Linked DNA regions of Oreochromis niloticus. The protein of the gene in region 3 purifies or fractionates together with the protein of the main gene of each other region. This does not show direct contact. Links are inferred from orthologs where the notes say so. Each region holds a gene or a part of one and is shown on either strand. Other genes may lie near its edges.

Region 1 (10,741 bases), on a different chromosome or scaffold from region 3:
CATTATTTCACAAACCACCTGAAAAAGCTGGAAATTGTTTGCAGATGCAACAGTCTGAATATTGTGAAGTGGAAATGTGCTCTTTATGGAAATTTCCAAACTGTAACTTGCAAGTGCAGAATAGTTGTATATGAATATAACCTTAGGATATACTATTTAGATGTGATGTTTTAGGCATTCCTTTCTTTGAATACATTAAAGTATTAATTACACACACACACACACACACACACACACACACACACACACACACACAAAAAAGAACTGCTGCAAGAACAACACATCACCTGTGGTGTGTGACACAGGTAGGGGAGTTCCCAGTGTACAAAGACAGCATCACGTTAGGCTCCCATAGCATGACTAATTTAGAAAGCCCTCACATCTACTAAATCCACTGAATGAAATGTCTCATGCTCACTGCCTGTGTTTGTCTTTAATAGATTTTAAAGACATTATTATACAAGTTTGACAGTATTCTTTTGAATGTATTACTTTGCACCATTATGTTGGTATTATAATGACAGTTTTTTCTAAATGGCACAGAAAACACATTTCATTGTACACAAGACATTACATCATCCTCTTCATTAGGATGATAAGTGTTTATGCTCTGGCTTTATGCTCACTCTACTTTCACGTTTGTAAGCACAGAAGCAGACAGGGAGGGGGGAGAAAAATGCTTTCAAACCACACTCTTGTCTGACTACACGAGTGTCAGAGGCGTGAAAGAGCAAGAGTGAGCACAACACATACAAATAGAGCACGACTGCCAGAGTAACAGCCCACGTTTTTATGCCTCCCTGCCAGCCAGCCTTGCCTACCACACAGAATATCTTATAGCGTTGTGAGCAATTCACCCTGAGCTGACTCGGCCACTCCACGCTAGATTGCTTGTCTGGAACATTTGAGGAGAAAGATGACAAAAGAAGTCAGAGTAAAGCCTCTTTTCTCTTCTGCTATTATCGTGTTAATCTCTGTTGCTTATGCCTGTAGGATGCTCAAAAACTAATTTTAAAAACAGTCTAACAAATAAATACAAATACGGGAAATCATGAAAGGAGACCAAGCTATCAATCACGAGAAAAAATAAAAAAATAACATGAGACATTATAATCAAAGGTGACTGTGCTTATTGCAGATTTTGTTATTAGAGCCTTTATTTACACGTGAAGGTCTCACTGAGTTTCACACCTTCTTTCTTTTTTTTTTTCTTTTTTTAAAGGAGTGACCTGGCCAAGAGGGCAGCAAACAAACAGAATGCAGTTTATATGCAATAAAAGGTCAAGGGAAGAAAAAAAACAAAAAAACCCATTTAACTTGAACTCATTTTAAGACCATCTCCTTGAGAAGCAGAACAAGCCCTTTAAATGACTTTCATTCTCCCACAGCAGCTCAAACAACTGTTTTTATACATCTATGGAAACAGATACATGAGAACCAGGCCACGTATCTGTGAGGGGGGTGAAGATAGCTCTCAACTCTTTGCCATTTGATCACAGCATAAACTGAGATTTGTCTGCATTTAACACCAATTTAAGTCGAGTTGACTGGGACTGAACAGCATCAAAGGCAGACTGCAGGTACTCATGGTTTTGTAGTACAAAAAAAAGATGAGCAGTCCAAGGTTAAAACCTATAAATCTTAGGACCCTGCGAGGTCTCCACCTGAAAGAGAAACAACAGCATCCTCTGATGCAGGCTGGGATCCCTCTTTGGAAGGAGGAGACTGAAGCAGGCAACTGTTGCCGTGGAGATGTGGAACACATTAGGTTGCTCGGCAACAGGCCATCATGCACAAGTCAGAGCCACTCCCATGTGTCTCTCATTCTGCCTATCCACCACGCAGCTTCTTGTGCGGACGGGCTTACTGGCACCCGACCGACCCAGACTTAACGAAAACAACATTTGCGCCAAATACCCTCCAGACAACAGAGGAGCTAATCTCGCCTTTAATCTCATCCTTAATCTGTTCAATTCGTTCAATACAGTCAAGCCAGCTACAAAAGACAAATCAACGCATTTGCAAACGTGACAGTTACAAAATAAAACTGATGTTTTCATTTACACGAGGAGAGAAATTTAAGTACATAAAGTATACAATTAAGCTTTATTTTAAGGAGGACTGAGAGGGTTATGAGTGATTATTTCCTACTAGAATATTGCTACTACTTTTTATAAAGTAGTAGCAATGTTTAATAAGGATTTACAAATACAGCAAAGGTAGTCCAAGTCAAAGTTTAATATTGCCTAACAGCTTTTAGACATTAAAGCATCTCTTACCTTTGTTCTTGATTTGACTTTTGACTTGACCTTCTGTCGCCTTTTAAGTTTCTTCTTACTCAATGCCTTCTTTCCCCTGGAAGCAAACAGTGATCAGTTAGTTTTGCAAAACTGTGCTCTCTTTTAGCAAAAACGCTGGACTTCTTGTCAACACTCAAACCATGTAGAAAGCTTGCTCAAGCTATCATCCAAAGGTGAAAGTGTAAAAATGAAATGGGCACAACTGGATCACTTTATTTTTAAAGCAAAGGTCAAAATTGTACTTAAAGAGACAGCACATAGGAACACTTCAGACATGAGGGAAGGTAAACATTTCTTCTTCATGCAAGGTTTCAAACTATTTCAATGTCAAAATCTTCTATTCTTTCTAACGTCCCACACAGCTGTGTCGATTTCATTTTTGTTTCACTCTGCAGAGCGAGCAAAGCGGAGATCTATAAGCGCAGTTCACCTTGCTTAACCGCCATAAGTGCGTCAGGAAATTCACATTCACTGTTGCCTCTCATATCAAACCTTCCCAAAATAGGCACTAGTTTGTTTCTGCAGAAATTCCCCTTTGATGCCTTTGAGCTGTCACTTAAATCTGTTTTGCAATGGCTTTTTGTGGCCAGTCTCTCTTACAAATCCACCTGTCAATAAGATGTAATACGAAGCTAGAAATAGAAACACCACTAAAATTAGTAACCACAGTTACTCACTACAAGAAAAAGCATTATAAAAGATTTACAAGTTTTAAGTGTCCTATTTTTTTTTTTAAACTAAATAGCATAGCTGAATATTGCTTTCCAGCACCATACAAATAGCATAATAGCAGGTCTCAATCAAGACTGATCCAGATACTCCTTTTTACCAACTTTCTCCAAAGAGCTTCCAAAACAGGCCAACTGAGCATGCCTATGAGTTTTTAAATAAGCAAATTAGTGGCAGATGTTAGTTGAAAAGGACATGAGCAACCAACTAGACAGACTGACGATTTTCTTCTGCCTGCTCCTTCAAATACACCAATTAATTCAGCATTTGTTTATAAAAACAGAGTAGCGTTCAGCATTATGTTGGCCCTTGGTTAAAGCAACCATTGTACACACTGAAAACAGCAATTGGATTTGTGAGGGGAGGATGCAGCGATGATCCAGCTACTCAGTCTACAATCTGACTGACTAGAATGACGTAAGTGTATTACCCGCTTATGCTAGAACAGCAAATGAGTTCAGCCACTTCCCTACACATCCTCACCCAAACACGGCTCACGTTTCAAACAAGTGTGTGCACAGTAGCAATAAGCAGTTAATGTTTTGTGTTTGTTTGTTTATTTGTTTGTTTGTTTATTTTTAATAGACAACAAGCCAAAGTCAGCCTCGTGAATTTTTTCCTCCCCCTTTAACCGGTTTAAGTTAAGGTAACCTGGTGAAAGGTCGGATGCTCCGAATAGCTAGCTCACAATGACGCCGTTGGGCCTAATTAGACACACAACACCACTACTTAACCGGTAATAATGGGTGACAATGAAGTAAAGTGACGGCTTAATAAATAAATACATAAATAAACAAACATATTACACAAGTGGGGCGCATGTTTGCATTTAGCCGGATCGCACCTCACTCAAAACATCACAAACTACTCCCATGACAGCTAGCCGGCTAGCTCGTTTTGGACGCGAATCCACCCCACGGAGAGGTTTTTCTCGAGTGGACATGTCTCGAGTAGAAAAACCTTGCATTTTAGTTGCAGTGTGTCAGTTCATAGCCGAAGCAGTTTGCACCGGGAGTGCAAAGCCCTCGCATCAGGGTGAACTAACGTAACGTTAGCTTAGATGGCTCCCATAAGCTAAGGAAGTCGAAGTCAAAATTGCTACCTAGCAAGCTAACCCCGCAAACAAATTATGGAGTTCCTGACATACTACCCGTAGTTAAAACATGCGCTTGTGTGACAAAGAATGAGATGCAACCAAAACCATATATAATAAGAAATATGCGTGGAAGTTAGCTCATTGGTATTGACTGACGCACCGCTGAGCAAGGGTTACTCTTAGCTTCGTTAGCCTAGTTAGCCCTACAAATGACAGCCCAGCCTCCGTGATATTTTTGATTTCATTTTATCCGCTCACCTTCCTTGATTTATCCCTTGCTCTTTATCGTTGATGGCGGTGGTATAAATCCGTCTGTATCTCTCCGCCAGGGCTCGTCCTGAGAGTAAAAGCTGGTACCGAGTCCGACAATCCGACTGGACTCCGGGTGTCGGGCAAGAACCCATCCCCGAACCGACGGTGGAGAGGTCGGCTCCTGCTCCAGAAATGACCCTGACACCCAGCCCCATCGACGGCGATAAGGAGGGCAGAATCCCACCACCGGCGGCCGCTGCCGCAGCAGCACACATCATCGTTTTGCAGAACAATGCATATATATGTATATATTACACAAAAGATATCACAGCCAGATAATCTCTAGCCATCAGGCGCAATCCACGTGTCGATGTATCCGCCACATGTCACATCATTTGTCGGCTACGAGCTGCGAAAAAACCACAACGAGCATCCACGGTCCTCAGTGGTTAGAAGCGCAAATTGTAGCCAATCTGGTGGTGCAGCTAAAAAACCAGTGTAGTCTTGCGATCCGGCCGCAGCGTCAACACGGTGCTCGACTCCAATGACGATCCTCTCAAACCATAACTGAAATTTCTCGCGAAAAAGCAGAAACGAAAGCATTCATTTAGAAAAATCGCATTGTCGAGTTTCGTTTTTTGCTTCGTTTCTTGAATATCTCTTGACCCCGGAGAGGCAGCACCCTCAGTTGGGCTGCCATCTTAGCTCCATCATCCCTCCCCTCCCTGGCCGAGCCTTGCGTCGCCAGCATGCCGGGATATTTTCATACGTCTGAACCGAGCGATGCTATCATTGATTTAGCTGATCAATTACCTCTCTGTGTACACAATCGCTGCAAATGCGTAGTTCACTTTTCTTTCTTTCTTTTTTATTACATCAGAGAAATAATCGTCGAGGCTAAGGACGGCCTCATAGATCAAAGGCAAACCCGCAGGGCTATTTTTTGAACACTGTGCACAGTTGGATTGTGGACATTTAAATTGTAGAAGTCAATACACCAAGGGCCCCTCCCAGGTTGATCTAAAATTGGCACACACACATGCACAGATGGATTGCTCTTGGAATCGTTGTCCGCAATAAGAGTGACCTTTAAAAACAGAGTTGCATATTTTTAAAACTGTTTTGATTTTTTTTTTTTTTTTTTTTTTTTTTTTTTTTTTTTTGTTTGCTGTACTATTCCGTTTAGCATTGCTCCATTTACACAGTGAACCCTGTGTAGCTGTGAACCCTGCCCTTTGATCTACCTTCTTGAACTTCTCCTTAGCTGGCACCAGGACTGCAGTTATCGATCTGCCGTCCCTGTTAATTGATCTTCACCGTGCTGCTGTGGGGGGATTGTTCACTGAGTGTGATTGTTTTAGCTTCTCATTACTGCCTCAGAGTAAAGCTGCACACTACCGAAGTGCGTCAGCTATGCATTACCCAGATTGCGATGGTGATGGCGATATTTTAAAGGGTGACACAAGGGTGCAGGGGGAGCTGCGGAGCTGCAGGGAGAGAGAGATAATAAAAAAAAAAGGAGAAACACTGTGTTGGGTAACATCAAAATAGAAGCAAAGGCCAAAAAAACACCCTACTGCAGTATAAGGTTTACAAGGAAACAGGTGCTTATACTTTAGTGTGTGATATAGCAACGGATGATGCAATTAGCAGGTCATGTTTCAAACATGCTTGGCTGCATCCTTTTAAATGTCTGTGCATGTGGAGGGATGTTTGCATTTATTTGGCGACAGAGAGGGAGAAAGAATGACAAAGGGGTACACAGGCCCTAGTGGTGCTTTATTGGCTGCACAGCATTGCAATGGCCCAATGACAAGAGAGAGGTAGGTCTGCTGTCTCTTCTCATAGCAACCGAGAAAGCATTCAGAGATTATCAGTGTCAGAGTGCAAGCATGCATCTCCCATGACAAAACCTGAAGAATTGTGCTCTCACAGCTGTCATGTGAAATATTAGAAGTGAAAAGCAGCTCTCTTCAAGTGCATCATAGCAGTTGTAATGGTCTCTACGTGGCAGGTTATGAAAAGAGCACGATTCGGTATTGAAGATGCAGTCGCATCCAGAGGCTGCTCCCTTATTAACCCCTGGTTTTCTCAGCTCTGGCCAGTTACAGTAAATAGAGGGAGGAGGGGCAGGGATGCCTGGGCAGAGTGGAAGTCCATATAGGACACAAACATGAGCAGAGCTGACAGAGATGATATCCAGCCCCCTCAGACACACACACAAACACACACACACACACACACACACACACACACACACACACACACACAGGAGATGAGGCTACTATTAGAGTCTAAGTAGGTTGTTAGGTTTTACGTTTTAGGTTATAACCCTGATCTCTTAATATCATAGTGTCTCAGCATCATCAGTATTGACCTGACATAATGTGCCTTGACAAAATCAACTATATGGATAGAACTATGTCAGCCTTCATTCATCCTGGGAGATGAAATGTGGTGTTTAAAGTTCAAGCAATTAGTTTCAAACGTGGGTAATCTTTTTCAAGCATCTATCGTATTTTGTTTCTTTTCATTCATTGAGAATATTAACGATCTAAAACCCAGTAGGACTGTGTTTCTAATGGCAGCTAATGACTCCTAATGTGTTTCTCTACATGACTGGAGAGGAAATTAATTGGTTCCTCGCACACATCGATGTGCCTCATTCATGCTTGAATGAAAGTGCTGATGTTGACTCAAACCTCTTATGTTCAGATTGCTCGGATTAGAGTGAAATGCATTCACTGCATTATTATATGATTTTTTCCAATTGTATTTCTTCTAAATAGTGCAGTTGTTGCATGTTACAGCACCATACTATAAAGGAAAACTTGAGCTCTTTGTCAGGCAGCTAAATTGTTTTTTGTGGGGGCACCAGCTTCCAAATCAAATACAGGGAGCTATACCTGCTGGGGTGACCCTTTGTGACTAAAGGGGCAGCTGAAAGTAGCTTCTGCATTTATCTGTTTGGTATTGACAGTTCATATTTACAACTAACTCTTTCAGTCATCTTGATAGCACAGGTTATATTTATTCTTTTCTTCTGACTCACTAACAGTAAACTCTTAAGGACACGTTTTGCCTTGAGCAACTTGTCTTACATTTATATATTTCCACGTAGCTAAGCAACCTGGAAAATAATTTCTATCATTATAGCCCTAGCGCCACCCAGTGTTGATCTTTTACTTAAATGTTGTAAAGTCTGTAAAGAGAGCAGAGGAATCTCGAACTCTAAGGAAATGAATCTAAGGCTTCTCAAGCTGCTCATTAATATACAGACAAGTTCAGCTAGTTAAAGACAAATCATAATCATAGCTGAGAGGGTATTTCCTTCAAAAATGTATCTTTTAAAATCTTTGCTTCAGCCTGCTTTAACCTTTAATGCAGGGCTGGAAAGCCTGCATTCTTCTCGTACTGTCGCTGTGACTAGGAGGATTTCACCTATCAGTATTGTGTTGTCACACCCATGGATGTTATGCACCTTTCATACCTATGACCATTCAAAAGACGGCACTCCCAATAATCAAGCTCACACACAGACAGTGCGACATTCGTGCTTCAAGTCTGACTGTCACTTGACATTCTTAAGCATCGGTCTGAGACCTCCCAAGTCTGTCACTGAGCAAGTCAGGTATGTCGGTTTGGCTGGCAGGAGACATTATTTAATCCGCTGAACTACACGCGATATCAGAAGAAATCTCGTTCAAAGTCTAAATGTTTAAGGCAGCAGAAACACCTAATCAGTCATCAGTAGCCAAGCTGCTTTGCGACCAGACATCAAAGGCATAAGGTCTGAGTTTGAGTTGTTATGAAATTTTATTGGACCTCGGTGATGTTAGATAACAAGTATTTTTATTATTATACAGGTATAAATTATCCACTCCCATCCAAAGTGCTATAAAGTCAAGGGGATGTTGATACATGGTTATATAGCGAGGTAATCCACCCAGAGGTTCAAACATAAGACCTAAGGGGAGACCCCAATCCAATGAAGGAAGGCACCAGTTTTGAACTTTTAACTGTACCTTTGTAGGTTTTACAGCTTTTGCTACTGATAAGGACATAACTGGCATAACTGGTACCTTTGGCAACTCCTTCAGAAATCTACATTAAATATAAAAACCAGGGTTCTGGTTGAGCTCCCTACGCTAAGCTGTAGGGCTATTGCAAAGGCTCAGGTTTGAATAGGCAGCATGCCATTTGCTGTCTGTCTCCAAGCTTTACTCTCGACTGTCGTACTAAATGCTAAAAAGCCTCCAAAAGTATTCAAATACACCCACAGGCCACTTCATTTAGTCTACCTGCAAAGCTGAATGTAACAAAAACACCACCGCAGAGAGCATTTACATTTAAAATCACAGGCAGCCGAGTACACTCTTAGCCTCATGACCCCAATAGAATTATCACCTTACTGTCAACATCAACAAAAATCCAGAGAATTCCTAATAGGTGGAATTTATAGCAGAGCTACCAGACTGGATACATTTGGTTAGAAGTGTACCTAATGAAGTGACTGTTGTGTGTGCACGCTTTATATTTCTATCTTCTATTTACATTGTATCCCAAGATTACTTTCTAGTGTTAAAAATATATTTATGCAAGTTCAAGCATGTAGTAGGATTAGGACAGAGAGAATCCCACACCCGCGTCGCAGGTTTGCTTCCTCATCACTCAAGTTGAGCTGCAAGTCTTTCAGCACTCCACCCAGTTCCATGTTTCTTGGTAAACAAGCAATTAGGAAACATTGATGACGGCGATAGAAGCATGTAGAATGAGAACGACAGAGAGAGAAAGCCTATTCTCTGATTCTTCCGTAAAGCCACGCCCGTGGGTGGCCTTGAATCTCCACTCCCTTAAGGTTTAAAGCAGAAGGAATGACAAGGGTGTGATTGTGTAGCGTGACAGACAGGTGTTGAGACCTGAGCTGAAGTGAGAGTTTTCTATCAAGTCAAAGAGGTTTCTGTGGAGGTATGTACCCTTTCTCTCTGTGTGGGAATCTTTTATCAGTCTTTTATTTTAGCTGAAACTGTGTGTAATGATGTATTAAAAATACACATGATAAATTGAGATTGTATATGAGACGAGTTTTTTGAGGTGGTGTTTTGCACTGAGGCATAAAGGAAAATAAATCAGAGAACACACTGTATGTCAGGTTATGTAATGATATCATTGTAGTGTTCATGTCAGATTGCACTTCTTTTGAGGGAATAATGCATAATGCATACCTTACAGATACAAAGAGGAGTCAGAACAGACTGATTTGCAGGTGTACGCTCAAAAAAATCACCCTAAATAACGATGAAGAAATTATTTTGAGTAAAATGCGATTGAAAGTGATTAAATCAAAATGTTTATTCATTCAAAAAATTAATCATAATCAAGGAGAATATGCTTGGTAAAAGCTGAATGTATAAAATCAAGTGAAATTCATTTGATCGGATTCCATTAAATGTAACATTTTACGGTAAGTTGTACTTGTGTAACTAAAAATGACATGGAAGTTTTACATGTAATCAAATTACCTAAAGTCAGCATTTTGGGCATAAACATTTTTTTTAGTGTACAGATCAGATCTGATAAACCACTGGCTGGATGAGAGATTTGATCTGTTTTATGATATTATCTGAAAACATGTAAATCATCTTTTACAAACTAGATGATGAACCAGTCTGTTTTACTGTGTAATATATATTTTTTGTCTATCAGATAATTAAATATCCAGTAATACATAAAAAAATGAGAAAAAGCACTCATTAGTTCAATATGCCATTTACAATTATAACTTCTGTCGAGGCTGTAAGTCTACCTCGAGGTTTATGATGTATGTTCATCGTGGAGGGTGCAGATGAAAGGCCGCAATCTTTATCATCAATAGCCTGTGGCCTGTCACGCCTTTAAAAAGCTCATGGTTTTGCTGACAAAGGCGTGCTTGGAGAAGGTGTGTTGTGGGTGGGTGTGTCCCAAATGTGGGTACAAATCAAGACTAACCAGTTTAGGCTTAATTTTTTTGAGTCTGGGGTTAAACACAACTTTTGATTTACTACAGACGCCAAACCCAACAAGGCAAGCTCATAAATCCAGTCCATGAAGTGCATATGTGTGCTGATGATAAGTATACAGATGGCAGAAAACTGTGATTGCTGGTTCACTTCATTATGGAGCATAGAGAATACCAATGGCACATGAAAGGTTTTAGCCTAGAGTGCCACCCTGTGGCTAATGAGCTGGGGTCTTTTTTTCTATTATGTGATCCATTTTCTTGTTGTGTCATACTTACAGGTGAAATTCCAAAATGAGCGCTTTCAAAACTGGTAAGTTGAGAACTATCAAAGAAAAAAAATTTATGAACCAAATTCTAAGCAAT
Region 2 (9,914 bases), on a different chromosome or scaffold from region 3:
CTGAAAACTGTACAAAAATCTTAACCCCCACTGGCATGTAAGAAACCCATGGATGGATCCTGTGAAACAGCATGGACAAACTATGGTAGCAGGAAAACAATAAAAAGTATTTTTAGATTTAACTGCCTTAGTGCAGATTAGTGTAGGATGCCGTTAATGAACAGTTCATTCTCTGTCTTGCCTTGACGAAGCTGTTAACGGCCATTATAGCCATATCAGGCTGGCTCTTGGCGTAGTTCATCAAGTAGAGGTACACCAACTTCTTCAGCTCCAGGTTGTCAGTCTGCATGCAGTTGACTACATCTGGGAACAAAGAACTGAGAGCAAAGCAAATTGACTTCAAAAATGAGTACTAGACAATGTTGCGACACTGTCGTGTTCTCTCACACTAGCTGTGAATTTACTGCATGAGTAACTGTGCTGAACTCACATCAGTACAAATCGGCTTAACAGACATATCATACAACTGTACTATGACTACTTAATGTCTGTAAAGCTTTAGCACACTGTGAAAAAACACTGTGTGCAAAGTGATCATCCCAAAAGTCCAACAATGATGTCTGAATAGCCTGAAAGTGGTAAAAACGTCCTTTCGTTCACACTTTTACTCCCTGATTTCTGAGGCTACTAATCAGATATATAAAAAGAGTGAAAGTAGCCAGAGCTCCAAGCACCCTAGCAACTGCTCTCTCCTATTTTTTAATCTCTGCTACTGTGTTCTCTTCATTTGCAATGACTGATTTCCTTGACCGATGGCAATCAATAGCAAAGCAGTGAGCCCTCTGAACAATACTGAGACTTTTATTTACTATTACTCTCTTAGCAGCACTGACAGTTCCAGGAACATATCCTGGGAGTTGGCAGAGAACAGCGGAAACAAAAGCAGAGCCGGAAACAATGACCACATATCAGTCTACTGAGGATGAGACTAATCAGCTTTCCAAAAGCAAAACTCAGAGTTAAATATCAGCAGCTGAATTACTTTGGAGAGTGAAGGACTTTAATCCAATGGTCTGTTGGTCAGTGAGCACAACACTACAATTTTCTTCTTGTTTAAGATATTCGGTGCCAACACATAATGCAACTGAGAAATCACAGAAGCCACGTCACTTTGATTTGCTTATCTTATCACACTGTTATAATTATAGACCTGTGTGAAGCATGTCATGAACACAGTTTTGTAGTAGGGCTGGGCTATATCATACCGTTCACGGTAATACCGGTGTAATTTTGGGCAACGATAGCAAAATGAAATATCGCGATAGAATGTGGGTAAAACGCGCATGCGCAGTGCCTATGTTTACATACGCACATGGCGGCGACGCAGAATGAGAAGAGCGAAAGTGGATCATTAAATGAAACGGATGAAGCAGAGTTGGTTTGTAAAAATGCTGCAACTTCAGTGGTGTGGAACTGGTTTAGCTTTCGTCCGTCAGATACACAACAAAGCACTATTTTTGGTAGCACATGCTAGCGGGCCGTCGTTATTACCGTGTTGTTTGGAAAATACGGCACACTTAAAATCAATCCTTTGATTTTTCTGAAAATCGACAGTGCCCCTTATAATCCCGCGTGCCTTATGTATGAATTCTGGTTGTGTTTACTGACCTCGAAATGATTTTATGTGGTACACGGCGCTCAAAAATCTGTCAAATGTTTTAGTACGACTTTGCTAAGCTACGAACCCACACCGCTTGATGGATTGTCGGAGCATTACGGCTATCGCAGGCAGGAGCCTCGCGGAGTGATACGTACTGTGCTTCAACATAATATTACCGTATTGTGTGTGTATAACCTCTTTTTAAGTTTTGTGGATATTATACATGGTTATGCTGAGGATATGTCGGCCAATTTCTACTGGAAATGGCTTTTGGTTAAACTGTCCGCAAGGAATTTGCAGTGTTACATTTTTATGTAACTTTAATGCACATAAAAAACAGCTGCTTGTTTAAGTGAAAATACATTGATGGGTTTCTTTTTGCACTAATAAAGTTGTGGAGTTGTAAAGTATTTTGTCTAGTGTCAATTATATCGTCAGTTATATCGTTATCGCAAATTTTCAAATGTATATCGTGATAAATATTTTTGGTCATATCGCCCTGCTCTATTTTGTAGTATACCTGACATCTTTGCCAACAGTCATGGCAGCAATGACCTTCTTCACTGCCTCTTTCCTCTTCTCCTTCTTCTCATTGTTCAGCTCTGCCTTCAGTTCAAAGATCTCCCCTGAAAGATGAATCAGATGAAGAGTTGAAAGCAGTGCTGTTTATATATACACTGCCATAAATTTCCAATCTCTAACATGCCCACATGAACAAAAAACAATTTCTCTTCCATACTCACCTTTTTTGTTTGTTGTGAAATATTTCGAGTCCGTCATGACTGTTGTCCTTTAGTTCTGTAAAAAATAAATAGATAAATACATTTAAAAAATATTACATAATCATTCAGTGAGGCTTTAATATACAATAACAGTCTGTAGTACCTCTTCTTCCCTGATCTGCCATATGACTAAGTGATGTGGTGACAAGCCACAAAGTAGTTCAATGAGATTCAGTCATCAGGTTTGCCTCCAACATAGTACACTGTAACAGTCAGTAATAAATCTAAAAATTTTACAGGTTTCTTCTATGACAGACCAACCTGATGTGTTTAGTTTCTAAATGAATGTATGAATAACTGCTTTACAAATACACAAGGTTACACTACAAGTATGGAGAACACCCCTTTCAATAAATAACTGAGCAAAATCCATACAGCAGTAAAGTGGCTTCATGACACTGGTTTGCATGGTGATGTGGAAATGAAAGCCTAAGAGCCCCAAGCAAAATGCCAAATATTAGCTGGAGTGGTGTTAAACACAACCAGTGGACTACAGAGCACTGTAATCTTATAGTCTGGATTCATTAATTAGGCTTTATTTTCAGGCATTGTAATGGAGGATCCTGGGTTTGGCAGAGGTTAGGAGAACCATTTATGTCTGAATTATACACTCCCTACTGTTTTACAGAGTATATGAAGTTCTAGTAAACTCTGAAATAGGCAACTTAATTTTATCATAATGCACCACACTAGGGAAGCACCAAATGCAATTTTATTATGTTTAATTTGTTTTTGTTATTATTCATTCCCCTTTCTTCTTCTTTCAGATGATTCCTTTAGGGGTCACCACAAAGGATCATCTGCCATCCCATCCCTAGCATCCTCCTCTGTCACACCAGCCCTCCTTCGCTAAATGCATGGATTTTATTTTTTGTATTTTCTTTGCAGTCTTCCTCTTTTCCTCCTGTCTGGTAGTTCCATATTCAACATTCTTTGTCTGGTATATCCACTATCCCTCCTCTGCACATGTCCAAACCACCTAAGCCTTGCCTCTGTAACCTTGTCTCCAAACTACTCAACCTGTGCTGTCCCTCTGTACTTATTTCTAAACCTGACCAGTGTGGTCCGAGCATATTGTGCTGTGACAGCTCCAGCTTGGCCTTCCATCTTTTTGTCAGTTCCACTAGAGCATATCTCTGCCTCTCCAGGCTCTCTTTCACCTACTCCCTTGCTTCAAGCTCAACTGCAATTTGAAATATAGTCAAGCAAAATGCCTTCTGGAGAAAGGTTTTATGGTCAGATGAGACAAAGATTGAGCTATTTGACCACAGTGACAAGAGATATGTTTGGAGGAATAATGGTACGCCTTTCAAATCTAAGAACAGAGTGCCAGCTGTCAAGCACGGTGGCGGTAGATATATTTACCAATTCTGACGAGAAGAGCGGTCAAATGATCAGCAAGAATTATGGCTGAAGCTTGTTGATCGCTACCAAAAGCATCTGGGGAAGATGCAACTTACTAAGGGACACTTAACCAAATATTAATGGGGGTTTATGTATATATTTGAATCTGTGTGGATGAGAGAAAATCCAACATAATTTCAAATTTTTGCAGTTATTAATGATGTAAGCTCTGCAATCATGCAAACCTGGAAAAGAATTCAAAGTTCAGAGCAATCATTAAAAGCACAAACATATGATATCGATGTCCATAATGACTGTATGTAAACCTGTGACCACACATTTGTGTATCTGTACAGCCCTAGCTAAAACATGCTATTACATTGAAGAAAACGTACTTAGGGTTACATGTTAAAGAATTAAACCTTTACTTTAGCCGGCATTAGCCATTTTCTTCATCTGTATGGTGAAGAAGAACCTACTCTAATCTAACTGTGACATTAACTGCTCTGTGTTTCTGGGTGTGACGACGTTTGACCTCTCAACAAACATCAGGTTAGCTTTAATTAACCGGGAGGCACAGCACTTCCACTTAGCTAGCGTTAGCTAGATGCTAAATACATCCGCTCCCTACTGCGATACCACAAATATTAACAACAAACTCCAAACACAGACAACTTCTAACATCAACCTGGGTTTACAGTCCGATATGACAAGATTGCGTTATGTTAAATCTGGAGTCAAAATAGAAACGTGAGCAGCGGCCCAGTTTCCAGGAGCTGCCTTTACGGTAGCTAAACGATGAGCAGCCCTGCAAAAATACAGTCGATACAAAATCACAACACAATGACAGCAAGGTTAAAAGAAGGTCCTGTACTGTATAATATCGCCCATACCTTGCTGAGTATACGTGAGAAGAGAAAAATATTCCACTGGGTGTCAGACGCAGGCTGCTCCTTCGTCTGTTTGGAGGAAGATGGAGAACCAGGATAACGATGGTGCATTCACACTCATCGGAAACTGGACAACTTCCCTTCTGAGGTAAAGAATACCAGGATGCGTTGTTGCAGCGAACACATTTCGTTGATTTTATAACGGCTGTTAGTAGATGTTTGTATAGTTAAGATCTGCGAATATAAATGATGTATTATATAAAATGTATATGCAGATCCAGGAAACCACAACCGGCAATGACATCACACGGTTTCGAGGTCATGTGGACAAATCGGTCTGCAGGGTTTATATTTTCTTTGTAATTGGATTCACAAGCAAATATAAATCAGTGCAAACTTTTGTATTTAAAGGGGAAAATTACATTACATAATAAATGACTCCATATGACGCCACGGTTTCCTATTATCATGAATGCAACACTGGAGGGAATTCTTGGTAGGGACCTCGCCGTGTCCTCACAGCCAGGAAAAGAATTCCATAATATCAGCGTTTCACCTTCACTGTACAGTCCTGCCTTTTTCAAAGCAGTTTCAAGTCAGGGGCTGCAAAGTACTCCCCTGGGTCTGAACGCAGCCCAAGAGTTGGAAAAAGGAAGGATACTCATGTTGATGTGAAATATGTTCAGTGCCTCAGGCATGAAGGAACATGTTGAATCAGACGGGTACATTTTTGTTATGTTCAAGTCCTTGAAACATGGAATTCTTGCAAAACACAGACTCTGTTAGGTACCATGTATCCGATGGTCCAACAAATCAGACGCGGTGTATATGATCCCTTCGATAGCTCAGTTGGTAGAGCGGAGGACAGAAATTCTTGGGTCACTGGTTCAATTCTGGCTCCAAAACGATTTTACAATTCAACTATCTCAAGCACATGTGTCGAACTCCAGACTTGGAGGGCCGCTATCCTATTGAATGTAAGTCATCTATTAAGATGCTGAACTGCACTAAGCAAAACCTGTGCTTCAGTGGAAAGGACCAAAGTGATTCATAGAGCATGGAAACTTTGTAACCCCCCCCCCCCAGCATTTTTAGCCCTCAAACTACAGAAGAAAACCCACACAAAAACAATATTTTCTCAATCTGAAAAGACAAGCGCCCCCCCAAAAAAAGATTTAAAAAAATACTTTTACATACAATCTAGACTGTGTGAACAGCTTTAAACTACTGTATGAATGCCCCTAAATATCATATACCAAATATAAAATATAGTGCATGAAGAAAAAAGATTTAGATTTTTTTAAGTATTTAAAGATAATTGTAATAGTTGATATAAAATGTTTATATTACAACAAATATGACAACTACATTGATATTTGAAGTAACCAATAGAAAATATAAAACCAAACTTTCAAAACATTACTTTATATTCACAAGGTTTTAAAAGCCTCAGTTAACGCCAACAATCGGACCGTTTATTGAAATCAAATATAAACCGTGACTATAAAAAAAAATGCATTGCCAGGTACAACCATACATAGCAGGTATAATGGCTCTGCTATCTATTAATTACCAGCTTCACTCATATTGTAACTTCATTAGTACACCATCCACTATGTTAGCCATAAATACAACAATTAAAACATTGAGACATGATTTTCCTCTTTGTGAGAAAAATTCACTTATATCACAGCCAGTGATAATCTATAATCTAAACTTCAAAAAAAACAGTAACAGCCTCACTCCATTTTTCAGACTTAAGCAGAGGATTCGATTTGTAGCTGGGATGCGCTGCTGATCAGGTCTTGTGGAAGACTTTTTCGGGCTTCTTGCATCTTTTTCCTGGCCCTCTGAAAGGCCTCTGCAAAAGGAAGAAAGTACCAGTCGAATACTACACACATACAGAGAAGGCTTACATAGCAATTTATAACAAATACACACAGAAATAACAAAGGAAAAAAAAGGTTAACTGTTTTCTTGATTTTACATATTACTGGTATGAAATAATACGCTAATGTTAGTCCACATTTTTTAGCTCAGAAAACAAACCAAGCTATAACCAATCGATCCATATCTCACATATGTCAGACTGAAGTGCTGAAAGAAACTTGTATCTCAGTGAGTCGATTTCCCACAGGGTTTAGCTTTCAAACTTATCCATAGCCTAAGCTCAGTGGGTCCTGAAAATCCAGACTTCTTACCCAGGATGGTGCAAACAGCTCCTTGCTGACTAAATCCTCCCAGCTGGTCAAAAACTCTCTGCCTCCTCTTCTTCAGCATGGCAGTATCAACAAAGGCCCTGCACATGAAATTAAAACATTTCCTGTTATCACTGATTATCATCTGAATGCAAACAAACCGAGGTTTGGGGCGATCGTGGCTCAAGAGTTGGGAGTTCGCCTTGTAATCGGAAGGTTACCGGTTCGAGCCCCGGCTCGGACAGTCTCGGTCGTTGTGTCCTTGGGCAAGACACTTCACCCATTGCCTACTGGTGGTGGTCAGAGGGCCTGGTGGCGCCAGTGTCCGGCAGCCTCGCCTCTGTCAGTGCGCCCCAGGGTGGCTGTGGCTACAACGTAGCTTGCCATCACCAGTGTGTGAATGTGTGTGTGAATGGGTGGATGACTGGATATGTAAAGCGCTTTGGGGTCCTTAGGGACTAGAAAAGCGCTGTATAAATACAGGCCATTTACCATTATATTATATTATATTTGCAACACCTGCATTAACATAGAAATAAAATTACAGTGTATTGTGGGACTGTGAAATAGGAGACAGTTGTGAAGTTGTAGATTTGCTGCTGTGTTGAAACAAATAAAGTCTAGCCACCAAAGAAATGTGATTAATCTATAACAATGCAGATAATGTAGAGCTTACCAACCATACAGGGAGTGCAGAATTATTAGGCAAGTTGTATTTTTGAGGAATAATTTTATTATTGAACAACAACCATGTTCTCAATGAACCCAAAAAACTCATTAATATCAAAGCTGAATGTTTTTGGAAGTAGTTTTTAGTTTGTTGTTAGTTTTAGCTATTTTAGGGGGATATCTGTGTGTGCAGGTGACTATTACTGTGCAGAATTATTAGGCAACTTAACAAAAAACAAATATATACCCATTTCAATTATTTATTTTTACCAGTGAAACCAATATAACATCTCCACATTCACAAATATACATTTCTGACATTCAAAAACAAAACAAAAACAAATCAGCGACCAATATAGCCACCTTTCTTTGCAAGGACACTCAAAAGCCTGCCATCCATGGATTCTGTCAGTGTTTTGATCTGTTCACCATCAACATTGCGTGCAGCAGCAACCACAGCCTCCCAGACACTGTTCAGAGAGGTGTACTGTTTTCCCTCCTTGTAAATCTCACATTTGATGATGGACCACAGGTTCTCAATGGGGTTCAGATCAGGTGAACAAGGAGGCCATGTCATTAGTTTTTCTTCTTTTATACCCTTTCTTGCCAGCCACGCTGTGGAGTACTTGGACGCGTGTGATGGAGCATTGTCCTGCATGAAAATCATGTTTTTCTTGAAGGATGCAGACTTCTTCCTGTACCACTGCTTGAAGAAGGTGTCTTCCAGAAACTGGCAGTAGGACTGGGAGTTGAGCCTGACTCCATCCTCAACCCGAAAAGGCCCCACAAGCTCATCTTTGATGATACCAGCCCAAACCAGTACTCCACCTCCACCTTGCTGGCGTCTGAGTCGGACTGGAGCTCTCTGCCCTTTACCAATCCAGCCACGGGCCCATCCATCTGGCCCATCAAGACTCACTCTCATTTCATCAGTCCATAAAACCTTAGAAAAATCAGTCTTGAGATATTTCTTGGCCCAGTCTTGACGTTTCAGCTTGTGTGTCTTGTTCAGTGGTGGTCGTCTTTCAGCCTTTCTTACCTTGGCCATGTCTCTGAGTATTGCACACCTTGTGCTTTTGGGCACTCCAGTGATGTTGCAGCTCTGAAATATGGCCAAACTGGTGGCAAGTGGCATCTTGGCAGCTGCACGCTTGACTTTTCTCAGTTCATGGGCAGTTATTTTGCGCCTTGGTTTTTCCACACGCTTCTTGCGACCCTGTTGACTATTTTGAATGAAACGCTTGATTGTTCGATGATCACGCTTCAGAAGCTTTGCAATTTTAAGACTGCTGCATCCCTCTGCAAGATATCTCACTATTTTGGACTTTTCTGAGCCTGTCAAGTCCTTCTTTTGACCCATTTTGCCAAAGGAAAGGAAGTTGCCTAATAATTATGCACACCTGATATAGGGTGTTGATGTCATTAGACCACACCCCTTCTCATTACAGAGATGCACATCACCTAATATGCTTAATTGGTAGTAGGCTTTCGAGCCTATACAGCTTGGAGTAAGACAACATGCATGAAGAGGATGATGTGGACAAAATACTCATTTGCCTAATAATTCTGCACTCCCTGTATAAGTACTATATATCTCTATTAAATGTTGGGTACAATACTTAAAAAGTTTATTACTTGTCATAAAAACAAGAAAACAAATATTTTAGAAATCTGTCAAACAGCTGTTTAAAACTAAAAATCAAATTCCTTTTTATTAGACTGGAATTCGTGTTTTCATTTCATTCATAATAATAATAATAATAATAATAATAACAACAATAATAGTGTGCTTTACTATTTTCAAAATATTATTTCGATTAAATAGCTCACATAAATTTTGGTGGTTAACCATTACAAAACATTAGAAAAGATTGTGGTAATTAACAATACTGTTCATTTAGGGCAGCTGTGGCATAAACCTTACATTGGGTGGTGATGTAATAAATTTGTTAGGCACACTATGCACTACTTTTTTGAAGCCAGGCTTTACTTACCTGGCTTGCTGAATGCAGTTGAGATTAAAAGTGACACTTCCTGTGGTTTCAGTGCAGAAGCCAAAGCGACTCAGCCTCTCCCCCTGCAGCCACACACAGACATACAGACATATTAGAAATAAAATAAAATAAAATAAAATAAAAATGATCATATTTAACATAACATAAAACATGTATATAAAACTAGAGGGTTAAAAAATGCCTTCATAATCGTACCAGGAGTTAAATTTATCCACTGCATTTGTAAGGTCTCAAGCATGCACACATTGCTTTTGATAAAGAATAAATGTAACCAGAACTTATGTTAAGTTGTTGTAAGGTACATTTAAATGTTTAACAGATTGTAGTTTAACAAATAAGTCATTCCCAGTTTAATTAAGTAATGTAGTAAGCCTACTGGGTTTATTAATTGTATTATGTAAATCATTTAATTATTA
Region 3 (10,207 bases):
TCTTACCTGAGACTGAAGAGCATCAAAGGCCTGGAGGGGTTGGTGGTCCACAAAGGGGCTCCAGATGTGTGGCTGTGCAGTAGGATGTGACGAATGGGCAGTGGAAATGGTTAATGGGTCAAATCCTGAGGAGGAGCCTCCACCTCCCAGCCCAACCAGCTCCTCAGACCCCACGGGAAGAAGGCCCTCGCCAAACCAGAAACTTGCACTGCCGCCATTGCTGTTGTTGTTAGCGTTGGCATTAAACGGACCGGTTGGGCTGACGTCTGCCAGTCGGTTGCCGTTCCCGCTGCTATAAAAAGAATCGGCTGAGCTGGTGCCGCTGCCCAGGGAGCTGGAGCTGTCGTTGCGGTAGTTGGAAGACATCCTGGCGCCATTGTTGATATTGCTATTGACTCGCTGAGTACCGGTGATGTTTAGTGGCAGCAAGCCACCGCCGCCTGGTGATGATGCACCTGCCTGAAGCCATCCAGCCTCTCCCAACATAGCCGATGTCTCGAAGCTGACATCTGTCCCGTTGAACTGAAAGTCATTGTTGTCTACACCTGGAGCCTCGATGCCCCCGCAGGTTCCGGTGCGGAGAGCGATATGGGCCTCTATCTCCTCCCTCGCCCGGTCTACGTTTTCCGGCATGCCTGTAACCTCGAACACTGGCTCTTTGTCCCGGCTCGGCGTCACAATGTAGGTGTGGGTCTGCTGCTGAATGCGTTTTATGGTTGCTCCTGAAAGATATGACCAGACCAGCTCTTTCACTCAAAACATGAGACACAGACGTCGAGTACAAAGACTCGATCAACGTTCTGCTCACTTTGCTACATGACTGTCCGTTATAGCTTAAAGTGGCTATAATATGTTCATTTTCGCTGTCATTATAATCTACATTACCCTGAGCTTTAATTCAGGTTCAGCCCCTCAATTTCACTCTTCCTTAACGCGAATAAAAACAAAGAGTCTGAACAGGAAGTGGGTGGGGCTTAGGTCCTCACAGTCAGAGGAGTGAGATGGCTGTATTGGGAATATACCCTCCCCCCTTTGACATCACACAAATACAAAAGTAGAAAAAGGTGCTTGAACAAAAGTGTCACCTAACCTTAACCTCATGATCAGAAACTTTGTCCATGTTTAATTTGAGCAGCCACCAATATAAAGCAAACAAATGGCACACATTCATTTTTTAATAGCTGGTGGTAAAAATCTCAGCTAAAGTAATAATAGTCGATCAAAATCTCAGACTACAACACTAACAGCTCTGTGTACTTGTTTATCTTTTAATAACTGCAGCTTGACAATCTGACAAAACAGGCCAAGCTGAGTCACACAGAAACTGCAGTCACAGCTAAATACTCAAGATTTTAGTCATAACGACAGTATTGTGCATTTATGGCAGTTACACTTTTTTCTTGGTTGTTGTTTTTTTTATAGATTTTTTTTTTTGTTTGGGCAGGACAGGAGAGAAGCTGGGAGAAAGACAGACATAATTCAAAAGCGGGCCTCAGCATTAACCTTGTAGCATATGCATCACCGTTGCTCAACCCAGTGAGTCAAACCAGCGCCCCACACTCAGTTCTATTTAATCATTGTGTGTGTTGCTTTGAAAATGGAAACAGCACAGCTGTGCAATAATTACAGTGCTCAACTACAGGCTGGCCTACTGACTCACCTGGCTGAAATCCACACCACCTGACCACAACACTGAACTCAGATCTAATGTGGAAACCTTATCAAATGACAATACTGTGTTTTTAACCAAGAAAAATATCCTGGAGTGCATTTTGTTGCTTGTAAATACTCCACAGCACACTTCTCGACTCTGTGTTTGTGTGACGCAGTGTTTCCTCCTAAGTTTTCAACTCCAGTGACTCTTTTTGACACGTCACCACTTCCTCTACAGGTATTATCGCAAGGACCGTTGCAGGTTGGTTTAACACAAAAAAAAAAAAAAAAAAAAAAAAAACACAGCCCAGAGCTATTTGACACACAGCTGGTAATGTCAACAGGGCAAAGAGTTAAAGACTCCAGTGAGCAAATCATAATCAGCCTCAGGGCTTTTTCACACACAGGTGCTAATGTGTACAAAGACTAGCTAAGAGCGACAGGGAACCTTCTGGACTTGAGCTGACGGATATCAAGATGCAGAGGCTTTTAGAAATACAGGATATCCATTAGACAACACAGAAACAGAAGCTGTTAGATGTGGGGCCTGATAGCAGAGCTACAAATCTGTGAATAGTCCCATAGTGTCTTGCCTATATCATCCAAAAAACACTTTTAGTCTGCATCTGGGAACATGAAATTTGTTTTTCTGACTCTTTTTGTCCTAAATTGCATGTTTCACACCTTTCCTGCCATCTATGCTAAAACAACATATAATTAAGCTAAAGGGCAATTCGGATTTTTGTTTTAGAGACTTTCTTTAGAACTATGACTTCCAGCAGTTACATACATGCAAACAAAACAAATTAAATACCCACCTTTAGGACCCACAACCAACCCAACAACACGATATGGTACCCGCACCTGTACAGTTAAAACGATAAAGGTTAGCTATACACACTTTAAAATACAAAACACAACAGAGAGCCTTATTTATACAACAATTTTGCCTGGATGCTGACACTAATAACACCGAGTCATCCTAACGGTTGTTCTCAACCCCTGAATGACATTTTTTTTTCCCATTTAAAGTCAAGCTTGCTGACCTGAATGGTAGTCCGTCCAGGTAAAGCCGGAGTCCCGAGGCTGGCTCCTGCAGTAAGAGGGCCCGTCCTGTTCCGAGAGGCTCTGATAAGGGAAAAGTGCTCAGCCGCAGACAGGATCTCCCTTTTAGCCATGGCCACATCTTCTTTACGTCCTGTCACAACAAAGACTGGCTGTTCCCCCCTCACTGGTGTCTTAATGTAGGTGTTGGTCTTGGCTCGAAGCGCCTTGATCTTACAGCCTGTCACAGGGACAAGTTAAAAAGCACATAAAGGAACCACATTAACCTGCACAGATTCAACATTAAACTCTTGAAACTCTTCATCTCCTAATAAACTAATGAACTAATAAAAGATCATGACACAAGCACTACAGCACAGGTCTCCAGTCATTAATGCCACATAAAAGTTGCATAGCTTATAAATTAAATATTCCATTCTGCAGTGGTTGAGAGTCCAGCATCATTACCAGAGCCATTTCCTGTTGTTGTCAACACCGCAGTCTGTGCACCATCCCCCAACTTACTCTCAAACATAATCACACTGCCCTACTAACCCAGCCCAGCCATCTATGTAAAGTTTATATAAAACAAAGACCACATATAAGGGTCTAAGAACATCGAGGGGATATTTAGCTGTAATCATATCGGTTATGTCACGGAGCTAACTATAACCTGCAGCTGATGTGGCAAAGGAATGGTGTCCGACACACCGGCTGCTCTTTATGCCCTCTCCTCCGAGACAAAGCCCAGGCTGGTTTAGCACAGCAAAGCACGGCTACGGGGAGGCTCACTGACAGCATACCCGTGATACAGGCGAGCTACTGCACCGAGGCCACAGAGTGGGTTCTGGAGACTAATAAAACTTTAGTTGTAAACTTTTTTCAGGGCGTTGGGCGAGGGTGTTGTTGTTGACCCAGTTTGAAGGGGGAGGAATGCTAAGCTAGTAGCTGAGTATGCCACTTTTCCTCGCGACAAAAATATATATTTTTTTAAAACTATAACTTAGTTTTATCTCGTTGCTTTTCTGTTCCACGTCTTTAATTAATTAGAGGATAAAATCACGATTCTTTAAGTTCCTTTATTTTGCCCCTTATTTCGGTCCTGCCTAACTCTTCCCACAAAGTTTAGTTTAAACTCCGTTAGCACCTTAACGTTAGCTCCACAAGCAGTCGAAAAGAAAGCGACTCACCCTGCCTGCCCACGATCTCCGCGACGTGCTCCGAGCTCGGCACGGCCACACACTCGGTCGTGTTTACGCTCTTACGCCGGTTCAACAGTGATGTCTCGGCCTCTCCGTAATCCGGCTCCCCGAACCCGCCGGACGGTAGCATCGTCATGCTGTTAGCCGGCGGGAGAGCGCCGCCGACCGCAGGATCGTCCCGCTCGTCTCCGTTGTACAGCAACACAGTCTCGATGTGCTCCATCCCGGAGCTAGCCGGCCCAGAAAGGAGGTGTTGGTTGCGGTGGTGGGCCTGCGTTAGCAACGAGGAATCGGTTGCAACTAATGGCTCCTCCTCGTCCTCAGCCGCTGCCGTTTTGTTCATTTCGTCTCCTGAGGGCGGACGAGGCAGTGGCAAGGGCTTCAAGTCGAGGACCGTACCGAGGAGGCTGAAATGGGAGACCGAGGAGAGCGGGAGATGGTGAAAGGGGAGGCTCTCGTCAGCTAGTTCGGGCGTCTGGCTGTGAGCGCCGTGCTGCTCGTCAAGGCCCATACCGGCGAAAGCGTGCAGGAGCGGCGGTGGGACCTCGGACTCTCCCTCATCGGCCTCCAGCAAAGACGTACTACTCGGCATGATGCAAGTCTTTTATTGATATTGCCGGTAATCGTTATGAATAATGAATGAAATTTATTTGATTATAAAAAATAAAAATAAAAAAGCGACCAGCGCCTGTTCGTTGAAATGTGTGGCTTTGTTTTGTCTTACGGCGCTCCTCTTCTCTTCTTTATTGTGGCGTATTTACAGCTGGCTTTCGATCATTTGGTGCATTACTGCCCCAAGTGGTATGGAGTGAAAATTACGACGTCGAGCCAATGATTTCAACATTCAGAAAAAGTTGAATATTTTAATGGTGGTCCAATGTGTATGATGAAAAAGTCGTCCCCCGTTCCTTTCCCTACACATACTTTCTCCCACTTTCGTTTAAACTCTAGTCTTTCCTCTTAACCTTTGACTGTTTTTGATAACTTTCATTCGACACCTGCTTCATAATGCATTTGATATATTTCCTGCTTAAGCCAACCATTAAATCCATCTGACTGATTTCTGTGGCTTGTTTTGCTTTCACTGCATACACACTGCTTGTTCATGTGAAGCTTGTTTTCAGGGTGAGATGCAATTTCACAACTATCAGGAAGATGCACTCAACATGTATTATGAGGGGTGTTGTGTCATGGGAATATTAGAATGATACAACATCTGTGGGTGTTGGCATGAGTTACACCCCCAAAAGTGGTAAATGAGTACATGTATATTAGATGTGAGAGAAAGACATTGTGGTGTTTTCAGTGTGCATTTTGTTGGTATAAAGATCGAGAGATAAATATAAATGCTTATAGGGATGGGATGTAAATGTATAATGAAGGCATGGAGAGTTTTTATTAGCAAGGCAAGAGGAGCCTAAAGATCGATGTAAGTCTGGCTCCTTGCCATAACATCTCTAAGTGGAAAAGTGCAAGGGTTTGAAGACAACTGTCCTCAACTTACATTTAAAAGGTAAGCCTGCTATGAATAGAATGATATAGTTTTGTTTTTAATTCTTACAAAGCACAGCAGAAATACTAATATGTACTCAAGACCTAAGGCAGTAATACCTTACCAATATTTCTTTTTCATGATTTCAGGGGTTACTTTGTAATGTTCAACTCCAGCAAAAAATTTGTTAAAAATAATTTTTTTCTATATATTTGTTTTAAACACACAGGGAAAGAAGATTATTAGCGGGCACGATAACCTTTAAAATTTAAGTCTACTACAAATTGTGAATGAAAACTATCCACTAATATTTAAGTCGGTCATTCATTTTTACACCATACAGAAAGGACCCAAAGTAGAGCTCAAAGTAGTTTGGGAAAGTGGTCTAAATCCAAAATGCAACTGAGACAACGAGCCAAAGTGTTGTTCTAATAATAAATGAAATCAAAATTTTCCTTTCAACAACCAAATATACTTCTTCACACATTCATCCACATACAGGTACATTTTAAAGATTATTTCACACCCTTACTCCTTATATATTGTGCCATTATATAAAAATAAATGAATATAAAATTTAAGGTACAGTGTAATAACAAAAATAATAAGGAAATAAACAAACAAGACAAATCAAACAAACAAAAAAAACATGTTTGGTTGCCAGAATGTGACGCCGCCATAGGGGTTAAATATCCCAAATGTGTTACTAAACATTTCATGTGTCTAATGAAATTTAGTTATAAGTAACATAATTGTAACCACAATGCTATACCGATAGGGTTTAAGCAGCATTTCTACTCCATTCAAACTGCGAAACATACTTCACTTTCATTTTAACCGGCGGCCACGTTGTAGCCCTGGATTCAGGTAATAAAAGGGAAGATACGCTTTGCTCACGCGTACGTGGTTGTGGCCCACGTGATGTCACAATGGCTCCTCCTTTTATGCTTTTCCACCAGTGCGAGCAAGCAAAGGCGGGCTTTTACGGATGACGACCAATGAGGTGTGTCGTTAGTAATACGCGTCTTAGTATTAGTTGCATCCGGGTGAGGACTTTGGGGTGAGTAGGTAATTCTAACTAAAACATAATATAAAATCGTAAATATTTGGATTTATTTTAACTCCTGTTACTACTTATGTCCTAATAAAACAACAACACAGCAACCATTGAAACATATTACAAATTCCGAGCTTCTTTCTTTCTCTAAAATATAAAGACCAGCTAGCTCGCTAGTTAGCTTTAAGCTAGCAGCTAGCCGCTTATATCAGTGTCCGGGTTTTCCTTGTCGGTATTTTCGCCACCTTCAGTGACGGTTTTAGTTTTTAATCTGTTGCTTTTACAGTTTTTTTTCTTAGAAGCTGTCGGCTCTCAGTCTTCAGGATGTACGGATCGCTTCGGGTGTTGCTGCAGGTGCTCTGGGCCCAGCTGCTTTGTGGGTGGGTGCTCGGCTCCGAGCTAACTTTTGAGCTGCCAGACAACGCTAAACAGTGTTTCTACGAAGACATCATCATGGGCACCAAATGCACCCTGGAGTTCCAGGTGCGTGTCTGTTATTTCCATCCCTTGCATCCATGCGAATCATCCTAATCGGAAGGTCGTTTTTCCCCCCAAATTAAATCGAGTCTAGATTGTCCTCTTGAAATCTGTATCAGGCGTCAAAGATGAAAACCCAGGGACATGAACAGCTCTATGTGCATGTCTGATAAACACTAGAAATGTAAACTAGCTCAGTTACTCTACTTCTACCTGAAAGATCTTCAGGTAAATATTTAAATTTAATAAGAGGTGTCCAGGTAGCACCAGGCCGAGTTATGAGTAATAAATACTATTAAATGATCTTATTCATTATCTGTGACATGTGCCTTAAACATTTGACTAGAACTACACACACACACACACACACACAGGGTGTACAACAAACAGATAGAAGAAGTGGCTGATATTGAAAGATTGTACCAATGCCTGGTTAAAGTTTGACAGGGTAGACAGCACCGAAACACTACTCATGGTAGCACAAGATCCTTAGAGGCCGAGGCCTATCACACAGGCTGTGCAAAGATACCCCAGATGTAATCCAGCACATAACAGCAGGGTGCAAGATGCTATCAGGCAGGGCCTACATTGAACACCATAATCAAGTGTGTGGCATAGTATACAGGAACATCTGTGACGAGTATGGCCTGGAAATCCAGAGGTCAAAATGGGATACACTCCAAAGGTGATTGAGAGTGGCCCAAGCTAACATCCCGTGAGACCTCCAGACGCAGACGAACAACAAACTGGTGATGGCTAACCAATCAAACATAATGTCCACATGGTGGACCATCAGAGGAAGAAGGCCATGGTGATGGATGTAGCTATACCAAGTGAATCAAGAAGAAGGAATACAAGAAGCTGGAGAAATACCAAGGGCTGAAGAGCCCACAGGGCGAGTGGGGAATTATTGTACAAGTATTCATTAGGAGCATAGTGTTGTGTGATTTATTTATTTTTTTGATTTTTTTGATTTTTTTTTTTCTAAAGTGCAATAATCACATACTGGTGCTTCAAGTGTATTTGCCAAAAAAGAGAAAAAGTGCAAATAAAGATTAATCTGGGTGTTTGTTTTTATTTTTTACTTGTGTGCATAATTATCGTGTAATAACAATCTGATGTTGAGGCAGTTGTTTTTAAACTCTGTTTCTACACTGTGTTCAGATTAATTTGCACTGACACTGAAAATATGTGCAGGACTCAGACATGAAATTGATAAAGACTCTGACCTGTAAGCAAAAACGCTATAGATATTTTTTTATTTTTTTTTTAAAAACAAAAACTTTGTCAGTATCCATCCTACCCCTCCTTGGCTTTGTTACTCATTCCTTCTGTGCTTTTCATTCCCAGGTGGTGACCGGTGGTCATTACGATGTGGACTGCCGTTTGGAGGACCCAGATGGCACAACACTCTATAAGGAGATGAAGAAGCAATATGACAGCTTTACCTTCACAGCAGCCAAGAATGGCACCTACAAATTCTGCTTCAGCAATGAGTTCTCCACCTTCACGCATAAGACGGTTTACTTTGACTTTCAGGTTGGCGATGACCCTCCACTCTTCCCCAACGAGAACAGAGTCACTGCTCTTACTCAGGTAAACTGTGAGGATTCACACAAAAACCTGTTAAAAGCCCGTTTCTCTCACTAATGTTTGCTTCATTGTATTTATTAGGGCGAAATAACCTAAACGGTTCTCCTGTGTTCATCCTGGTTGCAGAAATAAACCAACAGAGTTTCTTTAAATTAAAAGCGCGTAAATCCTGGTGATAAATAACACAAAAAAGCAGAGCAGCCATCTTACAAAGTTGTTTTTTTTTTATACAGATGGAAAGAGTCACCAGACAAGCTTTGTCTGTAAATGAAAACTCGGTACTGTGGCTACTCTCACAAGATAATATCAGCTAAAATAAGGCTGAAATTTGATGATGTAGCAAGACAGTAATCCTAACCAGTGATCTACCAAAGAACGATTTTAAACAAAGAAAACATCATGTTTAGAGAGACCCAGAAAATGACCATTTGAACTTTGTGTGGAATTACTTCAAGGAGGCCGATTACATCCTAAACATATGGCTGAGCTGGAGTGATTCTTTCAAGAATAATGGGGGGGAAATTCCTGCTTCTGCATGTGCTTCTGGAATTGTTTGACCTTATTGCCTTTTTGTGTTTCATTAGATTTAGTAAATAGTGGTTGTCAGTTAGGGACAAAACTAAAGGCAGAAAAAGACAGCGAGACGTGGGACGTTCAAATACTGAAGTGGAGAGAGAATAACATGTCTGTTCAGACAGACTAGAATAAGCACAAAATATCAGCTGCCTACTGTAATATTAGCTGAAGAAATATAATTAAAAAGCAATGCTTAAACCACTGTTGCCAAAAACTACCAATGATATAAATACAAGCACCACCCCTCCCTTAAATGACAGCCTCATATATGCTAGCCGTGCAGATTTAATGTTCCTGGTGGATGAATTTAGTAAATATTTTCAGCCATCTTCAAAAGATCTAAAATCAGTTTTGTTTTCCAATTTTTCACCATTTACAGATGGAGTCAGCTTGCGTGTCCATCCATGAGGCTCTGAAGTCGGTGATTGACTATCAGACACACTTTCGCCTCCGTGAGGCCCAGGGACGCAGTCGTGCCGAGGACCTCAATACCCGCGTTGCTTTCTGGTCCATCGGAGAAGCTATTATCCTCCTGGTGGTCAGCATCAGCCAGGTGGTCCTGCTGAGAAGCTTCTTCTCTGACAAGAAGACCACGACAACACGTGTGGGCTCATAACAGCCTCTGAGATCTGACTCATCACTTCCTTTGTCTGTTCTTGGGCTTGTGTGCATGGAGTGCATAGGAACAGCCGCACTGATCTGTAATTGAATCATATCAAGCGGCCAGGTCGTACAATCTGACTCGGCTACTTAAATCAGTACAGCTGTTCTTACAACTTTATGCAAATTAGTCTTGAGGAGAAAAAATAGTTGTGGGTTTTTGAGGATTTAAAAAAAAAAACAGGAGGAAGACTTGATTGTGTTGCTTGTAACTATCTGTATTTGAAGCAGTTCAAGCACCGGCCATATAGCTAAAGAAAAACTTTAAGTCATTTGAATATTTGAAATGATTTCTAAATGTGTTCTTATTTTAAATGTGTCCTTTTCTAACCCCTGTCTTCATGATCTGTTCCACTTTTCATCCCAAACTGCTCTGAAATAAGCACCCGAGTGGACACTGGGACTAAATGTAGTCATATTATAATGATACTGCGGATATTTGTCTTTATCTGC

The links.
Region 1: the proteins of RNA-binding protein MEX3B (region 3) and mycbp2 purify together in Homo sapiens (affinity purification with mass spectrometry; 3 studies listed by BioGRID and IntAct, with this or other methods). This does not show direct contact. The link is inferred for Oreochromis niloticus from reciprocal best matches to the Homo sapiens genes MEX3C and MYCBP2.
Region 2: the proteins of RNA-binding protein MEX3B (region 3) and ap2b1 purify together in Homo sapiens (affinity purification with mass spectrometry; 4 studies listed by BioGRID and IntAct, with this or other methods). This does not show direct contact. The link is inferred for Oreochromis niloticus from reciprocal best matches to the Homo sapiens genes MEX3C and AP2B1.

What each region holds. Positions count from the first base shown.
Region 1 is NC_031987.2:22,598,367-22,609,107, reverse strand, and holds the start of mycbp2 (E3 ubiquitin-protein ligase MYCBP2), read right to left. Parts: upstream 5,128-10,741; 5' UTR 4,656-5,127; coding exon 4,384-4,655; intron 2,356-4,383; coding exon 2,280-2,355; intron 1-2,279. Other genes in the region: scel (sciellin), read left to right, coding at 10,670-10,688. UniProt on the Homo sapiens protein: Atypical E3 ubiquitin-protein ligase which specifically mediates ubiquitination of threonine and serine residues on target proteins, instead of ubiquitinating lysine residues.
Region 2 is NC_031975.2:24,343,787-24,353,700, reverse strand, and holds the start of ap2b1 (AP-2 complex subunit beta), read right to left. Parts: upstream 4,775-9,914; 5' UTR 4,620-4,774; intron 2,399-4,619; 5' UTR 2,381-2,398; coding exon 2,344-2,380; intron 2,227-2,343; coding exon 2,121-2,226; intron 318-2,120; coding exon 182-317; intron 1-181. Other genes in the region: tectonic-like complex member MKS1, read right to left, coding at 6,374-6,477, 6,818-6,915, 9,478-9,560. UniProt on the Homo sapiens protein: Component of the adaptor protein complex 2 (AP-2). Adaptor protein complexes function in protein transport via transport vesicles in different membrane traffic pathways.
Region 3 is NC_031977.2:21,260,319-21,270,525, forward strand, and holds the start of RNA-binding protein MEX3B, read right to left. Parts: upstream 4,932-10,207; 5' UTR 4,492-4,931; coding exon 3,888-4,491; intron 2,939-3,887; coding exon 2,700-2,938; intron 2,518-2,699; coding exon 2,472-2,517; intron 723-2,471; coding exon 7-722; intron 1-6. Other genes in the region: tmed7 (transmembrane emp24 domain-containing protein 7), read left to right, coding at 6,773-6,931, 8,276-8,521, 9,474-9,710. UniProt on the Homo sapiens protein: E3 ubiquitin ligase responsible for the post-transcriptional regulation of common HLA-A allotypes. Binds to the 3' UTR of HLA-A2 mRNA, and regulates its levels by promoting mRNA decay.